4 linked regions of the Notamacropus eugenii genome follow. The protein of the gene in region 4 interacts with the protein of the main gene of each other region in a biochemical or structural test. Links are inferred from orthologs where the notes say so. Each region holds a gene or a part of one and is shown on either strand. Other genes may lie near its edges. The genes, in order: PTPN3, PLCG2, CRKL and ERBB2.

Region 1 (7,109 bases), on a different chromosome or scaffold from region 4:
CATCTACTGCATTCCAGGCCATTGTCAGTCATCGTGCCACTGGACATCAGTGACTTGGGAAGAGAGAGTGAGGCTTTTGTGTAACTCTGTCTCACTTAAATCCAGTTGAAGCATGAGTCAAGACAATCACCACCATGATGTCATTGGTCCTCTTTGGAAACGGACAAACAATAATGGTTATTGTATAGTATTATACATTTGTTTATGTCCTATTCCTGTTGCTAGATTGGACTCTCCATGAGGGGAGAGACTGTCTTAAATATCTTTGTATATTCTTCTTCCCTTTTCTCTCCAGGAGACTGGGAGACTATAGTTGTATAAAATTGCATGTACTAGAGAAACAGTTGTTGCATTGGTTGGTTTTGCTGGGGGAAAATACATATGTAATTAAAAAAATCTTTGTATAGGATCATAGCCTTTAAAAGTGGAAGGGTCTCCAGCCCTCTCCTTTCATAGATGAGGAAGTTCATCCAAGACGTGAAGTGATTTACCCAAGGTAGCCAAGATTAGAAGAAGGATTTGAACCTATCTGACTCCAAATATCTTTTTTATCCCACTGTTCTTCACTGTTCTCTTGGTGCTCCAAGAAACTCTCTAAGATTGTAAGGTACAGAGCAAATGCCCATCTGCATCCTTAAGGAGGGAGTTTCCTCACTGGGAGTTCTCTATACCAATATAATCCTAGGTCACATACAAAGAAAAAAGAAGAGGTGTTATTGCATGGATGAATTCATGCTTCTCTACCATTCCTCATTTTGTTTTGCTATCTCTAATATTCTCCCTATCCTACTGTATGTTCATATTAATCTTATTCATTAGGTCTAGTTCCAGGTTTGCCCTCATGTGGTCCTTTGTGGTCCCCTGATCTTCTGCAGTTATTAGAACTCTCTTCCCCTTCACTGTGTATATACTTTTCCATGTATCTTAGTTTTGTTTTGTTCAGAGATAAGTTCTTTTAGTTAGAAACTCTGCTATATACTTCTTTTGTATACAGTGTCACAGAACCAAGCTCACATTCAGTCTAAGTGAATTGAGTTACAGAGTTTCTTGGAAACAAGTTTGTTGTTGTAGTTCTAGATGTAGTAATCTTTTTTATTTAATAATTTATTTTGCTGTAATCTCAGTCATTAGTTTTTGACATTATTATTTGCAGTTTACCAATCTGTGCATTTGGTTTAGTTGAGCATTAAATATGCAGTCGAGTTGTACAGTCTAGTATGTATACAGCTATTATGCAAAATGTATTTGAAAGTCTAATAAAGAACTGAAAAAATTGAAAAGGAAAAAGATTGTTAATGACTGGGAAGATCAGGACAACCTTCATGGAAGGAATGGCATTGGACAGTTGAAAAGGGTCTCTGTTCTTGGTATAGTAAATGGTACAAAGGAAAGCCCAATCCAGAGGATCAGAGAAATCTACAATGTGGCTACATGTTAGGGTATTTGTAGTCAAGTAGCATGAGATAAAGCTAGAAAGACAGGGGGTCCTAGATTGTAGATAGCCTTGATACATAGGTAGAGAAGTATGAAGTAGGGAGCCTCTGAAGATTTTTGATCAGATGAGTAATATGATTAGAATTATGTACAAAGGCAACTAATTGGGCAGTAATATAAAGGGTCATAGTCTGGACGGGGAAGAGAAAGGAGAAGAGAATTCATGTTGATTGATTATTTCAGTTATCCTGCTAGGTGATGGGAGCCTGTATTTGGGAGGTGAGGAGTTGGATATGAAAAATGTTACTGAGGAAGAATCAGTAGGACTTGGTAACTAATTCAACATAAGAATCTCTTGGAGACTTAGTGAATGTTAGTGCTGTGGATGGAAGTAGTAAAGATGGAAGAGTAGATTTAGTAAGAAAGTTGAACTTGGTTTTGGACACATTGATTTGGAAAGGCTACTGTGATATTCAATTGGAAGAGTTCCATAGACAATTGGGGATATAGATAAGAAGAGATGAGATGTGGGAGTCATCTGTGTCCATCAGTGCTCTCCATAATGGAGACTGTAGATTGATCCCTACTTAGGCAATGGCTTGATCCCAAGAGATGTGTAATCCTCCAATTGGAGGAGAAGATGAATGGCATCCCACCTGCCTTTCAGTGTTCAATCATGGGATCTCTCCAACAGAACCACACTTACCCTTACCCCCAACACTACCCTGCTCTGCCTCTTCTTTCTGCTGTGCATGCTTCCATCTTCACCCTTTCTGAGGCTAGTTTTGGCTCTTCAGGACAGTTATAACTTAATCTTCAACATAGGCACCCATAGTAGCACCTGGCTAAGTGCTATTGGAAAAATCAACTACTTCCCCAAAAGGAAACCCACCTTCTTCCCCCCAGATTACCTTGTGACTGTGACAGTCTCCGTATTCCTAGGCAGTGACCCTTGAATGAAATCCTTGCCGTTCTCTTTTTCATTTTGAGTCTTTTGCACAGAACAGGTGGGCATAGGTGTGTAGTGATCTTCATCATAGATCTCAATACGTTATCTTCCTTCCCTTCCACCTGAAGCCCACCCATTATTTTCAAGAACACTGCCATGTTTCCAGTTGCCCAATTGCACAACATCAATGTCATCTACTCTTCATGTTCCTTTACTTCACACATACAGTCACTTGTCTAATCTTGTTTCTCTCACCACGTGTCTCAGGCTGATTCTTTTCTCTACTCACACAGCCTAGTTCTGGCCCCGTCATCTTGTCTAATCTATTATGAATTTGCTAATTGGACTTCCTGCCTCTCCTCTCTGCATTCATAGAACCTATAGCTGTCAAAGTGATTTTCCTAAATTGAAGGTGTGATCATTTCACTACCCTACTCAATAAACTCTAGTGGATCTTGCCCACTTTAACTTTACAAATATTTCATCTTTATCGCATCCTTTCTATTTGTTTTTGTGTATGTAAATTTTATAATGCATAAAATTGAGTACAGTAGTGTCATATAATTTACAAATAAGTAAATATACATACGTTGTTGTGTGCTTGACCACTAGCCAAAAAGTTTTGGAGACCACTGGTACAGATAGATGAAGAGTACTGAATTCCTTTGCCAAAGGACAAAGCATAGAAGAGAGAGCTAAAGGGAGAATCTTAGAGAATACCTACTTTTGGGGCCAGAAAGAGGAAAAACAGCCTAGGAAGGAGAGAGAAAAGAAACTAGTTTGAGCTTGTGTGCTTGAAGTGTTGAAAGAGAAAGTATTCCAAACGACAGGGTCATTAACAGTGTTGTATGTTATAGACAGGTCAAGAAGTGGTAAGGGATGGTAATACTTACTGAATTTGGCCAGTGGGAGGTCATTGGTGACCATTCAGAGAAGTTTCATTAGAAATGTAAATGTATAAACTAGATTTCAAGGGAGTGAGGAAGTTGAGACCATTTTAGATACTGTATTCTCCCCACTCCCCACCAAAATAATATGTACTATAGGGTAAGGGAGAAATGGAACAGTAATGATTGGAACAAACTTTTTTTTTTTTAGGATTAGGGAGACCAGAATATTTTTCTAGGTAGATTGTTAAGGAATCAATAAAGAGGAGAGATTGAGGATGTGTGGGAAAGAGGGACATACAAAGTGATTGTTTAAGTAAAGGCCTTGATCATGTGGTAGGAGGTACGGATAGAGGGAATACCCTTAATGAAGGGTATTAACACATCCTCTGACTAGAGGGAAGGAAGAGAGAGCCAGAGATGATGCTGAGTAGTTACGTAATGACCAGAAGACTCTGGAGGCTGGGGAGCTCACAATTGCTGGCCTCAATCTTTTCAGTAAAGTAAGTGGGAGATTGTCATCTGCTAAGAGTACTAGAAATATGGGTGGGGTTGCACTTAAGGAATGAGGAAAAGGTTTAAAAAGACATAGGGAGTCAAAAGGAGAGTAGGATTGTTGAGCAATGAGAGCCCAGCTGTTTTATAACAAATTTTTAATGGGTGACATCACCTCAGTGTCATGGCTTCCTTTAGCATTACTCAGCAGGCTAGGAACAAGAGCAGGGAAATTGGATTGAGAAGCCTTACCAAGCATGGGGATTAGCAGAAATGAAAGACCCAAATTTCTCGGAGTGGGGAGTAAGGGGTAGGGGTTAGGGAACGATTTGGCAACTTATTGTCTTAGAGAATTGCTTGTAGCTCTAAAAAGTTAAAGAGATGAAAAGCTGGTTTCATTTTAATGAGAGTGGGAGAGGGAGAAGAACAGAAGATTGCAATCAGAGAGAGGAATTTTGAAGGTCAAGGTCTCCAAGGTGGGTTGTGTACAGTACAGTGAGATGGCAAATGATAAATTCTTCAGACTTCAGTTGAAAAAAATTAGTTGAACAGGTTGAGGAATTATGTGTTCAGAATGCCTCAACATGAATAGTAATGATGAGTACTGGGAGTTAGGTGGAAAAAGAAACAGGGATCAAGGTGCTAAAATCATTGAAAAGGTTGAAAGAAGTACCTGGAGGTAGGTCAGTTTCATATCAAGCATCTTAGGTTTAAAGCTAGAAGAGACTTTTGAGATCCAACCATTTTATAGATTTTATAAATGATTTTATAGATATTTTATTTTATATTTCTATATTATATTATATTATTTATTTAATTTTATATTTATATTTTATAGATGAAAAAATGAGACCTTGTAAAATGACTTTCTCAAGGTCACATAAGTAGCAAATAGCAAACTGGGATTTGAACCCACAACTTGGGACCCCAGATTCAGTCTTCTTTCTACTGTGTTAATCTGAGAAGGTGGTGTTTATAGATTACATAGACTTTGAAGGGACAAAAATACTTTTTTGGGGGTGGAGGTGAAGAATTGAATATCTTCATTGTACCTCTCTCATTTCTTCTGTTTCTCATCTTTTCTGTACTATCACGTATTGTGCCTTCACCAGGGCCCAAGAATATATAAAAATGCAAATTAATCTATCTGACTAGCTAATGTACTCTTAAGAATCACAAGTTGTAATTGTTTGTGAGATGACAAACTAATGAGGTTTCTAGAATGGACAGAGTAGGGGCACAGCACCTTCTGGATCTGGAAAATCTGTAGAAAAAATCTTGGCCCTCTCTTTGTACTAGAGAAGTATGAATTTTTTTCTTTTTTTAATAGGGTATTTATAATGCCTTATTGTAAAGTTTGAGTTAAATATTTAAGCATAGACTCTGTGTCATCTGCTGGCCTTTGTGTGTCCTCTGCAGCTTCTACAAAACTCTACAAAAGTTCCCATTTAATTTCTTATACCATCCCATGATGTATTGAAACCACGGTGGGGAAAGTCGCGGTGTGGAAGGGATGACCATGTACCTTATGCTTTTGTGTTGCCCTCCTCACCATAGTGAATGATTACTATAGACAAGAGCTTACTCTAGTGTTGTCTAATTGATCATATTTCATGTTCGCTGTCTTCTTCAGTGTCCTTCAGAAAAGATTATTTTTTATTATGACTAAATTCTTCTATTCATGTTAGTTTGTATGAATGTGCATGCTCTTAAAAGAGAACCTGACATACTTCAAAGCATTTTAAGCAAATTAAATAAAAATATTTCCATTGGAAAAGGTTTTATCCTCCATAGTTAATGTATATTCTTTCAGGCATTACATTGTAGAGATATATTTAAGAACTAAATGAATGGTAATTAGCCATGTTTATCTACATTAAAAAGAAAAGAACACTTGTATTTGTGTAGGTGAAGGGAAGTACTCAGTGAAACTCCTTTGGTGAGAAATTCTCTTGAGTTTTCATTAGACCTGGAAAGGACCTCAGATAAATTTTGATCCAGTCCTCTCAAGAGGCCAAGTGACTGGACCAAGGTCATATGGATGGTATGTAAGTGCCAGAACCAGAATTTGAATCCAAGTCTTCTGATTATTAAATCCAGAGCTCTTTCCATTACACTGTGGTTTTTTTAGAAATAGGAAATGTGACTTAATGAAGAACTTATAGATGAACTAATTTATTATATAGATGATTATATATTTTTGATTCATATGGTAGATTTGACTTTCTTTTTTGTACAACATACAGACATGCAAACATTTGATTTTATAACTGGAGGAAAGGAAATTATGTTGTAGTGCTATTTAATAGGGGAGAGTTGTAAAAATCTGATTTCATTATTTAAATTTAGATGTTATGGCATGTTTGTATTTTAATATGCTTAAGATAAGACTAAAGAAAGGACTGTCCTTCTAATTATCCACGAAATATATTTTTCCACATAACTTGCCCTGCTCATCTTCTCTTATTACCAGTATAAAGGTACATGCGAATGAGAATTGTGAGATACTGTTACCTTATAACATTTTATGTTTTCAAGCCTTTATATAGATGTATTCACTCCCTAATCATTCTGAAACTACCATTTAGATATGTTGCTACCGAGTAGAAGTAGGTTACCTCTACCACATGACTCTGGGGCAGGCTTGCACAACTTTCGGTTTGCCAGAAGTGGTCCCATATATTTAAATTTACCTTGTTTGAAGTTCTAATTCTGTAAAATATGGTCCTTGGTTCCAGCCCAATGAAAATATGCCATGTTGAATTACTTGGACAAATGGGGACCTAGCTGTAATGTGAGGATCAATGAAGCAGTACTCCAGAAGGTGAAGAGACAAATGGGACTCAGGAAGACAAATACTCGTGAGCAGAGCAAGGCAGAGGTTTGGTTTAAGTTCTAGGAATGTAGTCAGAAACTAGGAAATCTCCCTATGAGAGTTAACAGTAGTGATCTAAGTTTCTTCAGGGCAGAGACTTGGGTGGTGGTAGTTATTTTTTGATCTTTGTATCCCAAGCACACAGAACGATACTTTGCACACAGTAGGCATTTAATGAATATTCATCGAATTGAATGGATGGCAAGAGGGCCATTAGGAATTGGGGAAACAAAAAAGAGTAGAAAAGATAGAATGTGTACATAGCACAGGAAAGGACATGGAAGGCAAGCACCTTGCTAAAACGAAGGCATTTTGTAGACCAACCTTATTACTGGTCATTCAAGGACCCAGGAGGCTGGCAACGCTTTTCTGCCACAGAACATTTTTGCCCTGCTTTGGTTGTTTGAGTTGTTTGAGTTTGAGTTTGAGAATTCTAAATTTAAAATTGAAAAGAACGTTAGAAGCCTTC
Region 2 (7,103 bases), on a different chromosome or scaffold from region 4:
GTCTTTTTTGTAGGAAGTAACATCTGAGCTGAACATTGAAGGAAAGCAGGGATTAATTTAATTTTGAGAGTGAGTCCCTTCTCAGGATTTTTACTGGGGAAATTACCTGGAAAAAATTCAAGCTGATCTGATCTTAAGGTCCAAGACTGGCCCAGGGGGCAAAATGAACTTTCTCTTTCTGGACAAATTTGGAAAAAATGAAAGCTGAGCTTTGAGCCTTGGGTGACCCGATTTGTACAACTTTTAACTTAAAGATTGCCTAAGAGAAGCTGTATCCAGGTATATGTAAGATATTGGGGCTGGGAAAATTCAAGTCTTACTGTGATCAGGCATAAACTGAGTTGATGATGCAGAGGAAAAGGAAAGTGAGAACTTCAATTTGGTTGGTCAGTATCATGAGACAGAGTAGCTTGTGGATTTGCAGTTATCTTTTTTTTTTTTATGCTAAAATCTTGGCTGTACTTGTACAGGTATGTATCCTAAACTGTTTGCTGTTCCTAGTGCCTCTATGATTCCATCAATAGAGGCACTGTTTATAATACCAACAGAAGTGACCTTTAGAGTACCTCTGAAGGAGGAAATGGCTGGGGCTGATAGGTACATTTGTTTACAGACTACAGTACCATAAATGGTTATTTATTAAAATGCTAGTGACTCAAAACATAGTAAGGACATTGCTGTTTCTATGGTAAGAATTCCTGCATTCTATCCCATCACGTCTCATCCTTGGGTCACCTCTAACTTTGTTCGTTCAATCATTTCAGTTGTGTCCAACTCTCCATGATCCCATTTTAGGTTTTCTTGGCAGAGATACTGGAGTAATTTGCTATTTCCTTCTCCTGCTCCTTTTACAGATGAGGAACTGAGGTAAATAAGGTTAAATGACTTACCCAGGGTATCTAGAGGCATCCATAGGTTTTTGACCTTTTAGCAGGGTTCTAGCATGGAAAGAAAGTGGGGGGGCAGTGACCAAGGGTCTTTCTTGCCCCTCCATACTTATATTATCAATCTAGAGGTGGAAGGAATCTCAGAAATCATCTAGTTCACCTCCTCTATTTTACAGATAAGGAAACTGAGGCTCAGGAGGTTCAGTCTTGCTCCCAGTGTCACAGTTGTAGTGAAATTCAAAGGCAGAATTAGAAGCCAGTTCTTTTGACTCATGGGTTGGTGTTTTTTCTACAGTATCATGAGTCTGCTCATCTGTGCAATGAACTGGAGAAGGAAATGGCAAACCATTCCAGTATCTTTGTTCTAGTCAGCCCTCCAAGGTGGTAAGTTGCAGAATATTTGCTGATTTGAATTGGTAGAGGGAGTTCCTTTATCAGGAGTTTCCTATACTGGACTCCCCTCTCCAAAAAAAAAAAAAAAAAAAAAAGGAAAACCACAAGAGGCCAGGGTGTTACCTTAAAGAAGACACACATTTCTTGGCTATATTTTTGGTCATAGGTGTAAACTTGCTGGGGGAATATCGGTCACCAAAGTGCCCCCTCATCTTCTCTGTCCTGGGGCCAACACGATTACTTACAGGCACCATCTTCTAGCCAGCCCTCTCCTCTAGGGCCCAGTTTAGAATCTGGAGAACTTCAGCTTATGATTTCTGTCTGAATTTTATTATCCAGCCTCCTTTTCTCTCTACACCAGCAGATAATCCTCTTCTTCCTCTTAGGGAATCATAAGCACAGTCTCAGAATTTTTGGAATTGTTCACCTCTCCTTTGTTTCCTTCAGGAACAGGCTCTAGTCAAACCCAAAGTTTAGCCACTCCTGTGCCTGACTGTGCTAAGACTTTTGAAAGTCTCCAGGCAAATGATCTCTAACCGCTTTGTTCCTCACTCTCTCACCATCCTTCCCTTCCCCTCCCCAACTCAGCCCCCCCCCCCACCCCAGCCCTGCAGCTGTGACATCCCTCAGGGACTGAAGGAGATACTTCAGAAAGTCCTAGACTCTTTGAAAGACACCACATAAAGTCAAAATGCAAGAAAACTTTTTTGTTTAGCATAGTGATTGTAATTTTTGGAATTTCACAAGTCCCCTGTCAATTCCATGAGGCATGTGTGAGGATATGTAGCAAAACACCTGTAGGAGAGAGAAACAGAGAGAGAGAGAGAGACAGACAGACAGACAGAGAGAGACAGAGAGAGAGACAGAGAGAGACAGAGACACAGAGAGAGAGACAGAGAGAGACAGAGACAGAGACAGAGACAGAGAAAGGAACTGGGTTTTAGTGTCACATATATTTAGAGCTCTTTGACTTTCAGAGGAAAGAAATCATGTCAAGGCTTAAGGCTGAAAAGAGTTATCTAATCTAGTCCAGTACTCCCTTCTACAGATGAGGAACATGTATCAAAGAAGAACAGGACTTTCCCAAGGTTATACAAGTAATCACAACTATATCAGCTGACATTTATATAGGAATCTAAGGTTTGTAAAAGGTCTACGCACATGATCTGATTGGTGCCTCCAAATGACCTTGTGAGGGAAGTGCTGTGGAAGTATTATTATCCTTCAGTAACATAATCATCACATAAGTAGAACAGGCTACCTCTGGAGGTAGGGTGCTCTCCCTCATTGGAAGTCTTCAAGAAGAGGTTGGGTAATAACTTGGCAGCTATGCTATAGGGGAATTTGTTTTTCAAGTGTGTGTTGGGTTAGACGGCTTCTAAATTCCTTCCAATTCTAAAATTCTGAATCTTCAATTCCAATTTTACAGATGAAGAAACTGAGGGGCTAAGGTGTTGTTCCATCAACTTAGATCTTATGAGACCTCCAAAAGGCTCACTACCAGTTCAGCTCTCTCATTTTATAGTTCAGCAAACTGAGGCCCGGAGGAAGTTGGATGACTTCTTCAAATTCCTATAGGTACTACATAGCAAAATTGGGATTTCAATCCGAATCCTGATTCCAGATCTAAAAATTTCCCCCCTGCGCTAGACTTGAGCAAGGTTACTCAGCTAAGTTTGAAGACAGGGATAGTTTTGATTTCAAGTCCAAAGCTGTAGTTACTGTAGTTACCAGTTACTAGCTGTAGTAAAAGAGGAGAGATTAGAATCTTCTGTCTCCAGATCCAGGGCTCTTTACATGGCCACCCTGTCCCTTAAGGGATCCACTAAGGAGGGAAGTGGTCTAGAGGGTCCTCCCAATTTTGATATACTTTGACTCTTTGTGAGTTAGCACAGTGTTGGGACTATACATGTTATATCAAACTGAATTTTGGTTAAGGAAATGGTACTCTAAATCACTGTGAGAAGTTGGTTGTCAGTTTTATTTATCTATGTCTTTATAGAAGGGGCAGTTGGCCAACGTCAGGGGTCTTCAGATAGAGATGTAAGAGCACCTCTTAGTATCTAGGAATTGTGCTAAGCAAGGGTTGCAAAGGAAGACAAAATAAAACAAAAAGACAGTCCCTGCTTCCAAGGAGCTCACAGTTTATTGAGAGAGACCACATGCAAACAACTAGGTATAAACAAGCTACAGGACAAGTTGGGGGTGGTCTCAGAGGGAAGGCCCTAAGGTTGAGGAAAGGCTTCTTGCAGAAGATGGGACTTTAGCTGAGACTCAAGAAAGTCAGGGAAATTAGGAGGCAGAGATGAGGAAGGAGAGAGAACTCCAGGCAGTGGAAAAGCTCAGTCTGGAGATGAAGCATCCGGCCAAGGAGGCCAGTGGCATTGAGCTCGGCGGGGAAGGTAAGGTGTAAGAAGATTGGAAAGGCCCAGGAGGGGTGAGGAGGGCCATCTATCAAAAGCTTTGGGAGACAAATAGAGGATTTCATATGTGATCCTGGAGGTAACAGGGAGTCACTGGCGCCCAGAGTCTGCTTTGCAGAAACATTAGTAACCATAAAAAAGGAACTTTTGGGGGTGGGTGGGTGGGATGCCAAGGAGAACCCAGAGCCTGTGGCTGAGGGCTCCTTCTGGCTCCGCTTGGCCTTAATTCAAGGCTGGTCTGCCCGGAAGCTTCTGCAGCAGCCAACACCACCGAGCACCCCGCCCCGGGCTGGAGGAGGGAGGGCGGGTCTCCGGGGAGGCAGGGACCGGGCCGGGGCAAGGCCGGCCTGCAGGGAGGCGGGTGATCACGTGGAGGGCTGAGCTGGGAGCCTCAAGCAGAAGCAGAAGTTCAAACTGTTGAGTGAGGAAACGGCCCCTGTGGCAGGAGCCAGAGCGTCCTGGAGACCAACCGGGAAAGGGGCGGTAGCTGCAGCCACAACCCTGACGTGCAGGGGTCCTGGGGGGAGTCCTGGGCGGCAGGCTGGCCTCCCCAGCTCTGTCACTCACTCTGCACTCCTGCCCAGGGGCAGAGCACCCTGGTTACAGGTGGTGAGTTTGGCGACTGCCCCTGGGGAGGGGTTGGGTCTAGCGGAGTGTGAGCTGCCCGTCCTGGCTGGTGCCAGGAGGGCATGTTACGGATGCATGGAGGCATGCATGTGGGCATCCAAGTAGGGATGTGCGCGGAGTGGATGGGGGACTGCCGAAAGGAACGGACTCCCCCTTCCCCGTCAAGCATCCAAACTGAGTCAGGGGGTGCAGGATTTCGGGCTGTCGGTCTGGTCCCTGTGCCACCCTCCATATCTAGTGCGTGTGTCTGCTGCAGAGAAAGAGTGACTCTCGATCTGCTGCCACTCACTGCTTCACTGCCTGGACTCGGGCAGTTAGAATAAGCCGGGTATAGCTGGGTCCTGGGCACCCCCTGGGGGACAACCACTCCCTCTAGGGGCCGCAATTTGGGGGAAAGGGGGCGCGCCAGTCCTGTTGAGGCGCTACTTGCATTTCGCAAAAGAGGGGAAGGAAGCCGTGCAGCTGTGGGCTGGGTGCTGCTGGCCAGCTGCTCCCCTTCGCCTGTCCTGCTGCGAGGTGCTCCGGAGTGTGTGCGGTGGGAGGTGAGGGGCAGACATCTCGGGTCCCTCACTTTGTCTGACTTCCGTGATCCCTGGTTGGGGCTCAAGGATCACCTTCCCTTCTCTCCCCTTTAACCCTTGGACCTCCTGCGTTGGAATCTTCCAACCTCCTCTCCTGGGGTTCGCCCACCAAGGAGAGCCCCAAACACCTCGATCCATCCTGAACTCCCTGTGTGGTGCTCTCTGCTCTAGACAGACCTGTCTTCCTTTTTCTTTCACTTCTCTTTTGATTATTCCAGCTCACTTTTCTCACTGTTGTGTGTCCAAATTGTGGTCTTCCTCTCCTTTCAAAACTTGAATCTGTACTGTGTGTGGAGCATTGTCCTAGGCACTCTGGACATACAAAGTTTAGTTGCAAAGTCGAGGGAGGAGGGGCTGGAAAGCACAGCCTGTAGAGTCTGGGGCTGCCCCCTGGAGTGGTTTGATCAGGGGCTGGTGTGGACGGATCTCACTCTTCTGTGGCCGTGAAGACTCGTTAGAACAGAGGACTTGAGTTTCTACATTAGTAACACCACTTCACAGTTCGGTCCTGAGATCTCTGTAATAGGTTTCCTTTTCCTCTCTTGATGTTATAAGCAAATGAACAAACACAAAATGGTAAAGTCTTACACAGAATCTTTAACAAGGTGTAATCAAAGTAAGACACAAGGAAGGAAACTGCTTGTGTTCCAAGGACTCCTTCAGGTCCGTATGGAGCTTCGATCTCTTGGGTCTGACTGTCAGTGTCTGCGTCTCTGCTTGTCACTTGTCGGTGGGGGGAGGGGAGAAGGGAATAAGCATTTATGTATCGACTGCTATGTGTCAGGCACTCTGCTAAGCACTTTTTATAAGTATTATCTCATTTGATTTTTAAGGTGGTGCTATTATTGTCCCCACTTTACAGCTGTGAAAAAGGAGGCAGAGTTGTGAAGTGAGGTGCCCAGGGTCACACAGCTAGTAAGTGTGTGGGCTAGATTTTTAACACAGAGGTCTTTCATCTGTCCACTATGCCACCAGCTGTCTCTAGTCAATATGCAGAAAGATTTAGCTCTGCTAATTCCATTTTACATCATTTCCTAAAGTTCTTTCCATATTTCCTCATATGATTCATATTCATCATTTTTGATGGCAGAATAACATTCGGTTAAGGCCTCTGGCACTTTGGACGGGCGCTCTTTGGTGAAATTGTAGAAGGGCATGAACAGGAGTGGCATAGGATGGGGAAGGCATGTATTGTTGGAGGGAACATTCAAATTGCTGATATCACAGATCATTTTGGGTGTAATGTTCCATTATATCAGTATGCCATAATTGATTCAATCTTATTTATTCTTCAATTTTTAGACATAATGTTGTTTAAAATCTTTTTTTTTTTTTTGTTATTTCCAATGGAGCATATCTGACCGTTTTTTGTACAGCTAGGTCCATTCAGTTATTCTTGGGGTTGGGGGATTCCAAGAAATGGGATTGTTCCTGCATATTGTTCTCCAGAATGTTCGCAAGTTTTCAGTGGGGGTGAGGTGGGAGATCAGGAAATATGTATAAATAGGTTCTACCACATTAATGCTCAGAGATGTCTAAATTTCGGCTTTAGAAATAGACATTTTTTTTTCCCCGGAGGATATTATCATTTGACTTCCATAACTATATTCTGGGAGAGGAAAATACTTCAAAAACAACTTCTAGTATTAAAGTATCAGAAGTATTAAGCAACTAGAAAATCCCACCGTTTCTTCCATTTATATCTAGAGGAACTCCTTGTGTTTCATGTCTGTAGGGTTTCTTTAAAAGATGAGAGGAAGCACAGAGTAGTGGAGATATAGCACTTGTCTGGCTCCTGGCCCCTCCAAAGCTATGTGACCTTAAGACACGTAACTCTTCTGCTTTTCAGTTTCCTCATTTACAAAATGAGAATTGTAGAATCATCAATGCCAAGCTGGGAGGGCTGAGAGGTCATCTGCTTCAACCCTGTCATTTTTCAGTTGAGAAGACTGAGACCCAAACAAGAGAAGAGAAATATTCAGGAGTATATCCTTTGACCCAGCAGTACTGCTATTAGGCCCGTTTTCTAAGGTGATTAGACAAAAAGGAAAAGAACTTTTATGTTCTAAAATATTTATAGCAGCTCTCTTTGTGGTGACAAATAACTGAAAATTGAGGAGATGCCCATCTATCAGGGTTTGGCTGAACAAGCTGTAGTATATGATTGTGACAGAATACTACTGGCACTATAA
Region 3 (6,847 bases), on a different chromosome or scaffold from region 4:
GTTCATATAAGTTCTTCCAGGTTTTTTCTGAAATCTGCCTGCTCATTATTTCTTATGGGAAATAGTATTCCATTACATTCATACACCACAACTTGTTCGGCCGTTCCTCTACCATTGATAATTCCTGAAGGCAGCCAGCTAGCATGGCAGATGGAGGGCTAGGAAGACCTGAGTTCAAATCCTGACGCAGACACTTCCTAGCTGTGTGACTCTGGGCAAGTCACTTAACCTCTGCCTGCCTCTGTTTCCTCATCTGTAAAATGGGGGTCATAATAGCACCTACCTCCAGGAGTAGTTGTGAGGTTTGAGATACTTGTAAAATGCTTAGCACACTGCCAGACACAAAGTAGGCACTTAATACATGCTTGCTCCTTTCACCTTTCTGCCATTCAAGAAGCCTTTCCAGAATAGTTGGGCTAGTTCACTACTCCACCAACAACACACTGGGAGCCTGTTTCTTCATATCTTCTCCAGCATCTGTCATTTTAGCGTATCTGGTGGAGGTGAAATGGCTCCTCAGAGTTGTTGGCATTTGCATTTCCAGGAGAATACCACCCTTCTAGACACCCAACTTCAAAATCTCTTCACTCTCTATCTAGTCCATCACTAAACTTTGTTCCTCTACCTCTCCCCATTTCTCCTCTTACATAAACAGCAAGTCTGATACAGGCCCTCTTTACCTCTCACCTGGACTATCACCCTAGCCTTCCACTCATCCCTCTGAGTCAAGTCTCTCCCCATCCAATACATCCATTACTCCCTTGTGGAGCATAGATCAGATTATATTAGACCCCTCACTCCAAACTCTCCAGTGGCTCCCTATTACCTCCAGGATTAAATCCTTTGTTTGGCAGTTAAGGCCCTACACAACATACTCCCTAAGATCCAGCCACCCTGGCCTAGTTACTGTTTCTCAAACAGAATGCATCATCTTTATCTCCATGCCTTTGCATAGAGTATCCCTAGCCTGGAATGCTCTCCCTTCCAACTTAGGTCTCTTGGAATCCCTGCTTTCCTTTCCTCCCCCCAGGTGCTGGTACCATTCTTCTACTCTGTGTTGGCACCCCCATTAGAATGCACACTCCTTGAGGGTGGGGATTATCGATTTTCTTTGTACCCCAGAGTTCAGCACAGCACTTGGCACATGATGCGGGCACCTAATCAATGTTTGTTGATGGATTGGTTGGTTCTATAGGTATCCATGTAGCACCTTGGTGTCTGGCTTAGAGATCATCTCCTCCGAACACTGAGCCCCAGAGGAGGAGAGTGGCTTGTCCAAAAGTCATACCGGTAGTAACAAATCGACCCTCCTCCCTTTCTGTGGGTCCTACCTGAGATACCGGGGTAACCGCAGTATAAGCAGTCCAAACTGACTGGTATTGGCTTCCTTAAACCTACTGGATGGCAACATGTCTCTGTGTTAGTTATCCACCGAGGGAGCACCATACCTGAATTTCCCAGCAGGTGGAATTCTTTTGAACCATTAACCTAGTAGTCACTTCTGTGGAAAGGTCTCCCAAGAGGTTGCTATATTCCCATTAGCCACCAGAGGGCAGTGAGCGGATAAATATCTAGGCTGCCTCCTCACTGCTGGGTTTCAAGCAGTTTAAGCTGAGTCTATAAGGTTCAGAACTTAGCTAGGGGCAGAGATGGGCCTCAACGTCTCCCTTCTCATCTCTGCCTCTGCCCAGTAGCCAAATAATCTCCCCTGGGCTAATCGCCAGCTTCCAGGTCCCCTGCCGCTTGAGCCTTGGACCACAGAACATCTTGTTGATGGAAGTCTCCACATCTCAACCCAAGTCATGGGCTGCTTTATCCCCGTGAAGTGGGGCTGGCAGGAAGTGTGGCTCTCCCAGAGGATCTGGGGGAGGGAAGAAGAGGCACCAGCAATGAGTTGGAGCCAGCAGCTTACCTGCTGCCAGAGCCAGTTCCCTCACAAGGCTGGGGCCAGGGTGGGGTGGGGAATGCCAGTCAACAGAACCTGGACTTTTGATCCCCCTGAATCCCCCCCATTCCTCAGGGGAAAAAGCAGGAATTCATAAGGGAAGAGGGTAAGGCCTGGGCTGCGGTTGTACAGGTCAGTACCACATAGGGAGCTTTGGGGAAGGATGGTGGTGGTGGATGAATCTGTCCTCTAGCATTGATTGAGGGCCTATTGTGTGCCATGCTAAGTGCTGGCATATAATGTGGGTCCCTGCCCTCCAGCAGTTCAGGGTCTAATGGGGCAGACAAGGGGCAAACCACTGGGAAGGGTCAAGCTAAAGACAGCTCTGCCCAGCCTAGGGCTGGCTTCTCTTGGGGAGCATCCTTGATGATGGGGATGGGCAGCGATGCTCAAGTTGCCCGGTCTGGGGTATGCCCTGGTGGGAATGGGGGTGAGGCAGAGGCACTCAGTATAGGGGCTGGCAGGGGAGTCCTGGCTCTGGCCCTGGAAAGAGCCTGGCATCAGGAGCCTTCCCTAGGTGGTGGAGCCTCAGTTTTCTCCTCTGTAAAACGGGGACTGCCTCCCAGGTGTGGTGGGAGGCCTGGCCCCTACTAAGCGCTACCTACGCGTTCAGCCTTGGCTTTGGGGGGACCAAGGAGATAGGGGTGCGGCCCGACTTGCGCCCGGACTGGACTTCGGTGGAGCACAGTGGCCCCAAGTCTGGCGCCGGACACGGGTCCGGAGGACAGCCAAGCTCTGTTTCAGAACTCTCCCCGGCCCATTCTGGGGGGGCAGACACCCCCTAACTCAGCCAAGGGGCTGGAGCCCACTGGTCGCCCTTAGCTTTGCGGGGTGTGGCCGGAGCACGTGGGGGAGCCACAGGTGACAGGTAAGTGACAAGCGGACCCACCCGAGGTGCAGGAGCCCTTCCCGGCCTCCACACCCCGAGGGGAGCCTTTGGGACACCCAAGGTTGGGTTGCTGCTGCCCAGGGACCTCGGAGAGTCAATCTTGGTGCGGATCGTCACTAATGAATACGGCTGAGGAGAGGGCGTCTTTGGGACTGATTACAAATGTAGCTTAGGTCTGATATTGATGCGGATCGTTACTGGTATATACGGCCGCCGGGCCTGGGCGTGGGTCAGGGACCCCCCGCCCGAGGTTTGATTTGGGTGCGGATCATTACTAGTACATATGGCTGAGCTGGAAGGTAGGAGGGGCGTCGTTACGGATCACTACGGCCCAGCCGGCGGGCCGCCCCCCGCCCCTCCCCCCGCCCGGACTCCAGGCGAGATTTCCCCACCTCGGCTCGGCCTTTCGAAACCGAAGGAAGCGCCCGGCGGCCTCCGCTCGTCGCCCCGCCCCTCCCCCCTCCCCCTCCTCCCCTCCCCCTTCCCCTCCCCCTCTCCCCCTTCCGCTCCCCCCTCCCGTGCCGGGCGTGCTCCGGCGCTCACGCGGACAGGCGGGAGGGCGGCGCCGCGAATGGGCGCGAGCTCCGGGGCAGCGCGAGCGCCGATCCTCATTGGGCGCGCGCGGGCCGGGCCGGCCAACCGGCGAGGGCCCCGAGGGGCGGGGCGGGCGCCGCGCACGCGCAGAGGGCGCCCCCGAAGAGGCTGGGGAGGTGGCCGGCCGCCCGCCATTTTGTTGCTGGGGCTCTCGGGAAGCAGGGCTGCGGCGGAGCGGCGAGGCCGGCGGGCGGCGGGGCGGCGGCGGCGCGGGGCGGCGGGGCGCGGGCCCCGGCGCGCGATGGTGCGGGCGCGGCGGCGGCGGTGCCGCGGGCTCGGGGCGGGCCGGGGCCTGTGAGGGCGCGGGGCGGCGGCGGCGGCGGGCGCGGCGCGGGGAGCGGCCCTCGGCGGAGCGGCGGCGGCCCGAGCTCGCCCGCGGGCTTCCGTAGCCGGCGCGCCCCCGCCCGGGGCGGCGCGGCCCCCGGCGGCCATGGCGGCGGCGCGCTTCGACTCGGCCGACCGCTCGGCCTGGTACGTGGGCCCGGTGTCGCGGCAGGAGGCGCAGAGCCGGCTGCAGGGCCAGCGGCACGGCGTCTTCCTGGTGCGCGACTCGTCCACCTGCCCCGGGGACTACGTGCTGTCCGTGTCCGAGAACTCGCGCGTGTCCCACTACATCATCAACTCGCTGCCCAACCGGCGCTTCAAGATCGGGGACCAGGAGTTCGAGCACCTGCCGGCGCTGCTCGAGTTCTACAAGATCCACTACCTGGACACGACCACGCTGCTGGAGCCCGCGCCCAGGTGCGGGGCGGGGGGGAGGGGGAGAGAGAGAGGGAGAAAGGAGAGAAAGAGGGGGAGACCGAGAGAGAGAGAGAGGGAGAGAGAGAGGGAGAGAGAGAGGAGAGAGGGAGAGAAAGGGAGAGGAGAGAGGGGGAGAGAGAGAGAAAGGGAGAAAGGAGAGAGGGAGAGAAAGGGAGAGGAGAGAGGGGGAGAGAGAGGAGAGAGGGAGAGAAAGGGAGAAAGAGCGAGAGAGGGAGAGAGAGGAGAGAGGGAGAGAGAGAGGGAGAAAGGAGAGAAAGAGGGGGAGACCGAGAGAGAGAGAGAGGGAGAGAGAGAGGAGAGAGGGAGAGAAAGGGAGAGGAGAGAGGGGGAGAGAGAGAGAAAGGGAGAAAGGAGAGAAAGAGGGGGAGACCGAGAGAGAGAGAGAGGGAGAGAGAGAGGAGAGAGGGAGAGAAAGGGAGAGGAGAGAGGGGGAGAGAGAGAGAAAGGGAGAAAGGAGAGAGGGAGAGAAAGGGAGAAAGAGCGAGAGGGGGAGAGAGAGAGAGAGAGAGAGGAGAGAGGGAGAAAGGAGAGAGGGAGAGAAAGGGAGAGGAGAGAGGGGGAGAGAGAGGAGAGAGGGAGAGAAAGGGAGAAAGAGCGAGAGAGGGAGAGAGAGGAGAGAGGGAGAAAGGGGAGAGAGGGAGAGAGAGAGGGAGAAAGGAGAGAGGGAGAAAGGGGGAGGGAGAGAGAGAGAGAGAGAGGAGAGGGGGAGAGAGAGAGGGAGAAAGGAGAGAGGGAGAGAAAGGGAGAAAGAGCGAGAGAGGGAGAGAAAGGGAGAAAGAGCGAGAGAGGGAGAGAGAGGAGAGAGGGAGAGAAAGGGAGAAAGGGGGAGAGAAGGGGAGAGAGAGAGAGAGAGCAGAGGGGGAGAAAGGGAGAGGAAGAGAGAGAGAGAAAGGGGGAGGGAGAGAGAGAGAGGGGGAGAGAGAGGAGAGAGGGAGAGAAAGGGAGAAAGAGCGAGAGAGGGAGAGAGAGGAGAGAGGGAGAAAGGGGAGAGAGGGAGAGAGAGAGGGAGAAAGGAGAGAGGGAGAAAGGGGGAGGGAGAGAGAGAGAGAGAGAGGAGAGGGGGAGAGAGAGAGGGAGAAAGGAGAGAGGGAGAGAAAGGGAGAAAGAGCGAGAGAGGGAGAGAAAGGGAGAAAGAGCGAGAGAGGGAGAGAGAGGAGAGAGGGAGAGAAAGGGAGAAAGGGGGAGAGAAGGGGAGAGAGAGAGAGAGAGCAGAGGGGGAGAAAGGGAGAGGAAGAGAGAGAGAGAAAGGGGGAGGGAGAGAGAGAGAGGGGGAGAGAGAGGAGAGAGGGAGAGAAAGGGAGAAAGAGCGAGAGAGGGAGAGAGAGGAGAGAGGGAGAGAAAGGGAGAAAGGAGGGAGAGAGGGAGAGGAGACAGGGAGAGAGAGGAGAGAGGGAGAGAAAGGGAGAAAGGGGGAGAGAAGGGGAGAGAGAGAGAGAGCAGAGGGGGAGAAAGGGAGAGGAAGAGAGAGAGAGAAAGGGGGAGGGAGAGAGAGAGGGGGAGAGAGAGAGGAGAGAGGGAGAAAGGAAGGAGAGAGAGAGAGGGAGAGGAGAGAGGGAGAAAGGAGGGAGAGAGGGAGAGGAAGAGGGGGAGAGAGAGGAGAGAGGGAGAAAGAGGGGGAGAGAAAGAAGGGGAGAAAGGGAGAAAAGAGGGAGAGAGGAGGGAGACAGAGAAAGGGAGAGAGAGGAGAGAGAGAAAGGGGGAGAGAGGGAGAAGGAGGGGGAAAGAGAAGGGGAGAGAGAAAGAGGGAGAAAAGAGGGAGAGAGAGGAAAGAGAGGAGAGAGGGAGAGGAGAGGGAGAAAGGGAGAGAGAGAGGAGGGAGACAGAGAGAGGAGAGAGAGTCTGCGCTCTTGTAATTTTCATTTAGATCTTAAGTGAGCAGGGTCCGAAGAAAGTGCCCATTCAACCCTTGTTGGTGAGGCCAAATCCCATCATTAAATGGGGGAGGTAAAGGGCTGGCTCAGCACATACTGGAGACACTTTTGGAACCCAGGTCCCCTGACTCCCAAGCCCACAATGCCCCAGCTGGCTTCCATTCCCACACTTGGTGCCCCTGGGGTGACCTTGGGCAGCAATGGCTCTTGTGTGAGGTTTGACCCCCCCCCTCTCACAGGTGAGCAGATCCAGGCCGAGGTAGTAAGATACCCTGCCATCCTCATAGCTAAGAAATGGGGGGATTGACCCCCAAACCCTGGTCAGTTCAGGGATAGGGGCACCCACTCATGTTTCTTCTGGGCAAACAGGTGACAAAGTAGAAGCTCCTGGAGAGGGGACAGGGACAGCTTCTGCTCTGACTCTAGACCTGGTGTTCTAGACCGAGTTTGGACTAGATGAGTTCTAGTAGGAGTGTGGGAGTTCTGCTCCACTGCTGATTTTCTGAGTGACCTCCAATGATAAGTAAATCTCCTCAGGGCTCTTTCAGTCAATAAACATTTATTAACTGTCATTTTCTGTACCACATGCTACTAACCTGGAGATACAAAGAGGCAAAAGGCAGTCCTTGCCCTTGAGGAGCTCAAAATCTAATGGTGAGATGACAAGCAAAGGAGCATGGACATCATAGACAGGACGAAGAGGAATTCCGTTAGAGGCAGGCATTAGAATTGAGGGGTGGGGAAGGTTTTCTGGAGGAGGTGGGTCTTAAGCCAGGGAAGTCAGTA
Region 4 (7,399 bases):
CATTTGAACCCAGGACTTTCTGGCTTAAGTCCAGCATTTTATATTACACCAGAGGGCAAAGGCTGTTTATCTGGGGTCCATGAACCATGGGTTTTTTGGGGGGGAAGGTGTCCATGAACTTGGATGGAGAAAAAAAATGCAGTTATTTCCATTAACTTCTAACTGAAATATAACATCTTTAAATGATTTAAAAACACTGTTCTGAAAAGGGATTCATAGGTTTCATCATACTGTCTAAGGGGTCCAAGGTTGCAACAGAGGTGAAGAACTTCCACGACTTGGGCAAGACAATGCCTTCCTTTTTTTTTTTTTTTTTTTTTTGGTCCCTTGGAAGACTAGACAACTGGGTCAGAATTATTTTTCTAGAAAAAGAGAAATGGCACTCTTCAGGATGCTGCCTTTAGGGAAAGTGAATTTGGGACTGTGACTGACTCTCAGTCTCACAAGTTAGTCATCGATGACAAAATCAAAGTATTTTATTTTGACCTTTGAAATGCAATGAATTTATCTTCCCCATTATACTTTACTTAATACTTAAATGAGTTTACTTCCCTGGAGCACAACCACTAATGCGGGGGAGGGAATGGTGGATAATAGGGGAGCCAACCTCAGTATTAATAATCATAAGCATAAGCTGTAGATAATACACAAATTGAGAATTTACATGGCTTTCAAAGTCAATAATTCCTCAGCCTATGAGATAGGATTCTGGCAAAAGTCTGACCTCTCTGCCTTTTATTCACTCCCCTTGCCCAGACTCTGAAGTCCCTCCTCAATGCCCCTTCCTGTAGCCTCACAGGTAGTTTCCTTTAGGTAGAATTACCTATGACATATCCTTACAGTATGCTGCCCCTGAAGAGACGGGATAGGGAGCAACTTGTATGAAGAACTGACCCTTTGACTATCCCTTCCCCTCCTTCCTCAATACCCCCCATCCCCAACATATTCATCTCCTTTCTCCTTTGAACAGGTCCATCAAGGATTTTTTAAAAATATGAGCATAAGAACAGTAGTAGGGAAACCTGTGGAAACTGAGGCACAAAGGTAAAGAAACTGAGGCAGGGAGAGAACTATAGACCCATATTACCAACATAACAGAAGCTCCCATCAGGCCTCCTTTCTTGGTCACCCAGTTTTTTCAGCAGTTGAACAAAAACATAGTTTCAAGAATCCAGATTACACACTAACTGTCCTGCCTTAGCCAGAATATTAGAGTCTGAAGAGATTCTGGATTGCGGGTCGGGAAGCTAAACATGTGGGGTCAGAGAGGGAGAGCTAAGTACTATGTTCTGGATCCAAATGGAGAGGATGGGATACATTTATTTGGGGCTTTCCAGCAAACCTGACTCAGTCATCTCAAAGATCCTGGGTATGCAAAGAGCACAGTTCCCCAGAACCCAAGTTATGGAGTCAGCGTTGTTTGGTAACACAAAGGAACACACACATACAGACAAAACAGACTTACAGACATTGAGACACACACAGACCCCGCCCCCAGAGGCACATAGAGAGAGACTCAACATCCGCCAAGATCCTCTCCTCAAGTGTATGCTGCCCTCAACAGCCTTCAGTCCTATCCCACCTCATCCCTTTCTCCCTCCACCCTCAATGAAGGAAAAGGCCAAACCAAAAGCAACAGCCCTTACCCTTTCAGCTCCAAGTGGTCCCTTTTAGTTTGCCAAGTCCCCAACCTTTGGAATTCTCCCCCATGCCCCAAGACCACCCCAGAACCCCTCTTTATGTCCCATCCCTTACACCTGCCGAGTTAAGCCCAACAAAATTAAGCCTTTCTCTCCTTCCCAGACTGGCCCAGAAGAAATTTATTCAAAACAACTGTCTCCCCTACCCGCCCCCTCTTTTCTTCCGTCTCTAGGCCTCCCTCCCCACACTAGTGAGTGTGGTAACATCCAAGCAAACCTACAACCTTCTTCTCTCCCCACTCCTGGTCCAACTGGTTATCTCTCTGCCCCCTCCCAACCCCACCCCCCCAGCCCAAGGCAGAATTGGAGTAGTAACAACCTGAGGTAGAGAGTGGGTGGGGGGGCAGGAGAGGAGGGAGGATTGAAGAACAAATTAGGACCCCCCCCCCCCCCCCCAGAAAGCCAGCCCAGCCCAGTTCAGTCTGGAGATTAGTGGCTGTGGATTTTAAGAGTCAAACAGAAGGAACATATGAACGCGAATACACAAACGCACGCGCGCGCGCGCGCGCACACACACACACACACACACACACACACACACACACACACACAAAACTTAGCAGGACTTTTTTCCCCCTTCTGGTCAATTCTGTAAAACTTTTTGACTATTTCCCCGTTTGACAAGAGCTGGCTGGGACCCAAGCCCTATGTCGGGCCCCTTCAATGTAACTTTACCCCCTGCCCTATCTACCTCCCTGATCTGGCTTCATCTCTCTGACTTCATCCCCCCAGGCCCTCCCGGGAGTCCCCCTTCCCCCGGAGGCTTGGTCATATTTCTTCTCTATTGACTCCCATGCTTTCTAAATCTTTGCTTTCCTCACTCCCACTCCTCATCCCTGTCAAATGTGCCCCTAAGTTTTTCTTCCCCTTGAGAATTCTTTGCAGGAAAGGGCTGCAGACAGTTCTCTCCCAGTCGGACTCACCTTGGGTTCCCCAGACTGCTGGGGGCAGGAGGACCAGAAGGAGCCCCCAACAGCAGCAGCCCGACAGATCCATAGTCCTCACTTCGGCCCGGGGCCCATGGCTCCCAGGCTCAGGAGGAGGACCGATGGAACCTAAGAGCTGGGAGATAAGGGGATCCTGGGAAGCACCCCAATCCGGGCAGGAATCCCCTTGAGCGAGTCACTGGCTCAGTGGAGGTATTTTTCTTCTTTGCTGACTTCTCTCTTTTAGCCAGGATTGCAGGGGAATCTCAGCTCTACAACTTCATTCCTGTAGTTCCTCAAAGCAGTCACTGCTTGTCCTCCTCCTCCTCCTCCTCCTCCTCCTCCTCCTCCTCCTCCTCCTCCTCCTCCTTCTCGGGAGCGCGCTGCTCGGTCTCGATCCCGCCCTCCCCCCCCCCCCCTCCCAACTACATTCCAACAAGTCTCTGGGAGTGGCAGTGGCTGCTCCCAGCTTTACTTTCTATCTCCCTGGGTAGGCCTGGGGGTGCCTCAATCTCCCCTGAATCTAGAGACTTTTTTAGAAACCTGTTGTTCCTGGAAGGAGGGGTTGGGGACAGACGGGATACTTTACTTTTGCCATCACCAGGCTTTCCCAGTCTACTGTTACACAACCCTCTAATCTGGAGGGAACCCTAATCAAGGCTGCCTTTCCCCATCTTCTCCTAACCCAGGCTCCCCTTCCCTTTATTAACAAGCTCCATTCCTTTCCCCCATGCTCATCCTCATCTCAATTATCTACTCCAACCCTTTCTTCTAGAACAGGGATTCTTAACTATTTTTGTGTCATGGACCCCCTTTGGCAGCCTAATGAAGCCAATGGAGCCCTTCTTAGAATAATGTTTTTATGTAACTGAAGGAAATGCTAAATTTCAGTTAGATTAGAAGTTAGTGAAAATAAAAGATTTCTTTTTCCCCATCCAAGGTCACAGACCTCCTGAAATGTCTACAGAGCCCTTGGTCTGTGGATGGATCGCAAATTCCAGTTCTTTTGTGGAAGGATAGGGAAGGGAATATACTAAGTTTGAGATATTCTAGGCATCCTCTTCTCAGGCTCTGAGAGAAAAAGGCAGTAACTCAGGCTCAGAAAAGTGACTACTACAAGGTGGGGAAGGGACAGATTTAGTTAATGTTAGTTAAGCAGCCCCCTCAATTTGGTGTCGGACCGAGGCTGCCTCACATGGGTCTCTGTTCAGAGCCTTCTGTATAAGTCTCTCTGGGCCCAGGATTCGTCCATTTGGGGATTTTCTGCGAGTTTTCTCTTTTGAAGATTCTGTGGAGTGTCTGTATGTCCCTTTGTTCACTGTCTTTATGTGGAACTTCTCTGCCCAAGGCATCCTCCATACGTTTAGGGTCTCCTTTGTGAGGTATGTACCCATCTGGGGAGTCTCTGTGCAGAATTCCTTTGGGGGGAATGTCTCTGATGGTCTATAGACTCTCTCTGGGTCCAGAGTCCCTTTTATGGGGCTTCTGTTTCAGGTCCCCTTCATCCCATAAGGATTCTTTAGGTCCTCAGAGTTCTTTCTCTCCAGAGCTCTTTTTTTTTTTCCTAACCAGGATGCTCCTGGTAGGGGAGAAGCAAGGCTATTCCAGTCCATGGTGGGGGGAATATGGGACACACAGAACAAAGATAAACACAAGGATAGCTGTTATTGTCAGTGAAATCTGACTGGCTCACACAGGAGATTTGAAGCCTAGGGAAAGTGAGGGTGTGGGGAGCTGAGTGATACCATCTTAATGAGGGAGAAAGTGTAAAAAGTAAGAGTTGCCCCCCCCCCTTTCCCTATTCTTACTTCTGTTCTCATCCTCCTCCTTCTCCCCAGTTTTCCACTCTATGTGTGAGCTGGGGTGGGAGCAGACTAGGAAGACCAACTAGGTGGGGTAGATGTTAGGCTTTGATTCAGCCTCAATAGTAAGAAATCAAGGACCCCATCAGTGTCCTCTCTGACCAGAAACCATTGGTTACCTATGAAAACCTTGAGGGTGAGGGTGTTAGAACACACGACAAATGGAGCCATTGCAGACCACTTCTTTTGCCTAGGTCGCCTCCTTCCAGACCAGAGTCACCCTCCTAGCCAGAAGTCTTCATTGGAAAAACAATGAGGTGTCAGTGGCTGGCTGAGGAGGAAGGAGGGAGGCAAAAAGAGGGGAGGGGTTAGACAGACAAGAGGGTGGGGGGGGGGGAGGAGGAGCTGAAGTTAGATCTCTGTTCCTGGGGAGGAGGCTCACGGAGGGGCTGGACTCCCGAGACAGAGAATGGGCTTATTCAGAGCTAGGAAGGAAGGGGGGAAAATTCTTGTCTGCTGTTTGAAAGAGTAGAGAAGAGGGGGCAGGGGGTGGGCCCAGCAGATTCAAATCTCCCTTTCCTTGTGCTTCCAACTCCCCCCCTCTCCCCATAAGGCCTGGCAGGAGAGGCTAGGAGAAAGATTGAGTTTGAGGGAACAATTAGAGAGGGAGAGTCTTGTGGGTCAGGAGCAGTGGGGAACTTTGGAGAGAGGAGACTGAAATAGAGGTGACTATATACAGTACATATGTAAATACTCTCTCTATATATAGGACAGAGGATCAGGAATGGGAAATCAAGGGAGAATGGGGGACATTAAAGAAAGCAGGCACACAGAGATAGACTATGGGAGGAAAATGAGGTGCTGGGAGAGGGGTAAATGGAGGAGGGAACAAAACAAAGGATCAAAGAGAGGAGGGAATGATGGAAAGAGAGAGAGTGACAGGGGAATGACTAAAAGAGAGGGAGCTTTGAGGGAAACTTTGGGACAGAAACAAGCCTGAAGGCCAGAAGGATGAAGGGTAGGTGGCAGGAGACTGAAGGACAGGAAAAAAGAGAAAATGGAGGACAAAGACAGGAGGACATGGGTGAGGGTTAGAAGGCAGCAGCTTTGCTTTACTATTCCTAGTGTTAGTCTCCTCCCTAGATCTTGGTGGTTGAAGGGAGAGCGTGGGGCACCACCTTTCTGGGGTGACCTCTAAGGGTCGCCTGGCTAGAGTCTGGGAATCAATGGCATGTGAAATACCATCAATCATTAACTAGCCATCAAGGCCCTGGGGACACATGGAGCATTGTGTGTTTGAGTGTGTGTGTGTGTGTGTGTGTGTGTGTGTGTGTTTGAGTGTGTGTGTGTGTGTGTGTGTGTGTGTGTGTGTGTGTGTGTGTGTGTGTGTGTGTGTGTGTGTGTGTGCCAGAGCATGTGTGTATCTCTAAAGGAGTGCTTTCCTAGGAGTCTCCTCCCTTTCAACCCCACCCATCTCCCCAGCCACCCTGGGGTCAAAGAATTGAAAACAAACACTGGGGAGGAGAGAAAAAGTCCGAGGTTCAGGCCACATCCCTGGGCTTAACCTCATCCCTGGGCTTACAGATCCCAGCCCTGAATCTAAGTCTTAAGGAGAGTGTGCACACACACTTGAGTTTGAATTTGTATATTAATATGTGCATGTACATCTATGCCTATATATCTATGTGTTAATTAACCTGCATTATTCTCCATGCTTCATTCAATTCAGAGTGCTAGATTAGGTGTCCAAGAACCTGGTTTAAGAATCCAAGAATCCAAGAATCCAAGGTTCTAAGTCTGGACCTGCTGCTTACTGCTTGTGTGACTTCATGCAAATCCCATAACTTCATTTTACAGGTTTTCCTCATCTTTCAAATAATGGCTAGAATTTCTAGAGTACTGGTTTGCAAAGTGTTTTATATTCATTATATCATTTGAGGAAATAAATTAAAGGAGTTGTACTAGTTGAGATGATCTCTAAGGTTTTTTCCAGTTCTAAATCTGATTCTATGTTTATAAGCCATTTCAATTTATTATTTATTTTTAACATTCTTTTTAAATTTTGAGTTCCAAATTCTTTCTTCTCTCCCTCCTTCTCCCACCCATTGAGAAGGCAAGCAATATATCAATTATACACATGAAATCATGCAAAAAAATTACGTATTAGCAATATTGCAAAAAAGTGCAAGAAAAATTTAAAAAGTGACAAAATTATACTTCACTTTGCTTTCAGAATCCAACAATTCTCCCTCTCGAGGTGGATAGCATTTTTTTTGTCATGAGTCCTCTGGAATTATCTTGGATCACTGTATTGATCAGAGTAGCCAAGTCTCTTCCAGTTGATCATTGTTACAACATTATAGCTACTGTGTGTGTTCATCCTTCGTTGCCGAAGAAGACCATGCCATCAGAGAAATGATGACATGACTTGCACTTGACTTTTTTGTTTTTTGAGTGAGGGAGGGCTGTGCAAGGTCACCAGCCTCACTTCTCCTCCAGAGCCATCTGTATCCAGTGACCAGATATACATCAGGATGACTGGAGATGACCCAGGATGAGGCAATTGGGGTTAAGTGACTTGCCCAAGGTCACACAGCTAGTGAGTGTCAAGTGTCTGAGGTGAGATTTGAAGTCAGGTCCTCCTGACTCTTGCACTGGTGCTTTATCCACCGCACCACCCAGCCCTCCCTCACTCAAAACAAAGTGAAGTGCAAGTCATGTCATTATTTCTCTGATGGCATGGTTTTCTTCAGCAATGAAGGACGAACACACACACACACACACACACATTTACTGTGTACAACGTTCTCTGGGTTTTTCCTATATTACCTATCAATTACTTATTGATATCCAATCAAGATGCCTATTAGGCACCTCAATAGGCCCCAGGAATACAAACGTATCTGTTATAACCAGGACAACCAGGGTAAACTCCCTCCTGTCTCTTCGTCCCCCAAATCTTCCACAAAAT

Evidence for each region.
Region 1: of the proteins of ERBB2 (region 4) and PTPN3, one has a biochemical effect on the other in vitro, tested with the Homo sapiens proteins (2 studies listed by IntAct, with this or other methods). The link is inferred for Notamacropus eugenii from reciprocal best matches to the Homo sapiens genes ERBB2 and PTPN3.
Region 2: the proteins of ERBB2 (region 4) and PLCG2 form a complex in vitro, tested with the Homo sapiens proteins (2 studies listed by BioGRID and IntAct, with this or other methods). The link is inferred for Notamacropus eugenii from reciprocal best matches to the Homo sapiens genes ERBB2 and PLCG2.
Region 3: the proteins of ERBB2 (region 4) and CRKL form a complex in vitro, tested with the Homo sapiens proteins (2 studies listed by BioGRID and IntAct, with this or other methods). The link is inferred for Notamacropus eugenii from reciprocal best matches to the Homo sapiens genes ERBB2 and CRKL.

What each region holds. Positions count from the first base shown.
Region 1 is NC_092874.1:313,227,003-313,234,111, forward strand, and holds the start of PTPN3 (tyrosine-protein phosphatase non-receptor type 3), read left to right. Parts: upstream 1-4,099; 5' UTR 4,100-4,168; coding exon 4,169-4,241; intron 4,242-7,109.
Region 2 is NC_092872.1:542,870,903-542,878,005, forward strand, and holds the start of PLCG2 (1-phosphatidylinositol 4,5-bisphosphate phosphodiesterase gamma-2), read left to right. Parts: upstream 1-4,090; 5' UTR 4,091-4,312; intron 4,313-4,784; exon of another isoform or gene 4,785-4,872; intron 4,873-7,103. UniProt on the Homo sapiens protein: The production of the second messenger molecules diacylglycerol (DAG) and inositol 1,4,5-trisphosphate (IP3) is mediated by activated phosphatidylinositol-specific phospholipase C enzymes. It is a crucial enzyme in transmembrane signaling.
Region 3 is NC_092875.1:9,006,660-9,013,506, forward strand, and holds the start of CRKL (crk-like protein), read left to right. Parts: upstream 1-3,837; 5' UTR 3,838-3,858; coding exon 3,859-4,169; intron 4,170-6,847. UniProt on the Homo sapiens protein: May mediate the transduction of intracellular signals.
Region 4 is NC_092873.1:355,228,734-355,236,132, reverse strand, and holds the start of ERBB2 (receptor tyrosine-protein kinase erbB-2), read right to left. Parts: upstream 3,007-7,399; 5' UTR 2,697-3,006; coding exon 2,624-2,696; intron 1-2,623. UniProt on the Homo sapiens protein: Protein tyrosine kinase that is part of several cell surface receptor complexes, but that apparently needs a coreceptor for ligand binding. Essential component of a neuregulin-receptor complex, although neuregulins do not interact with it alone.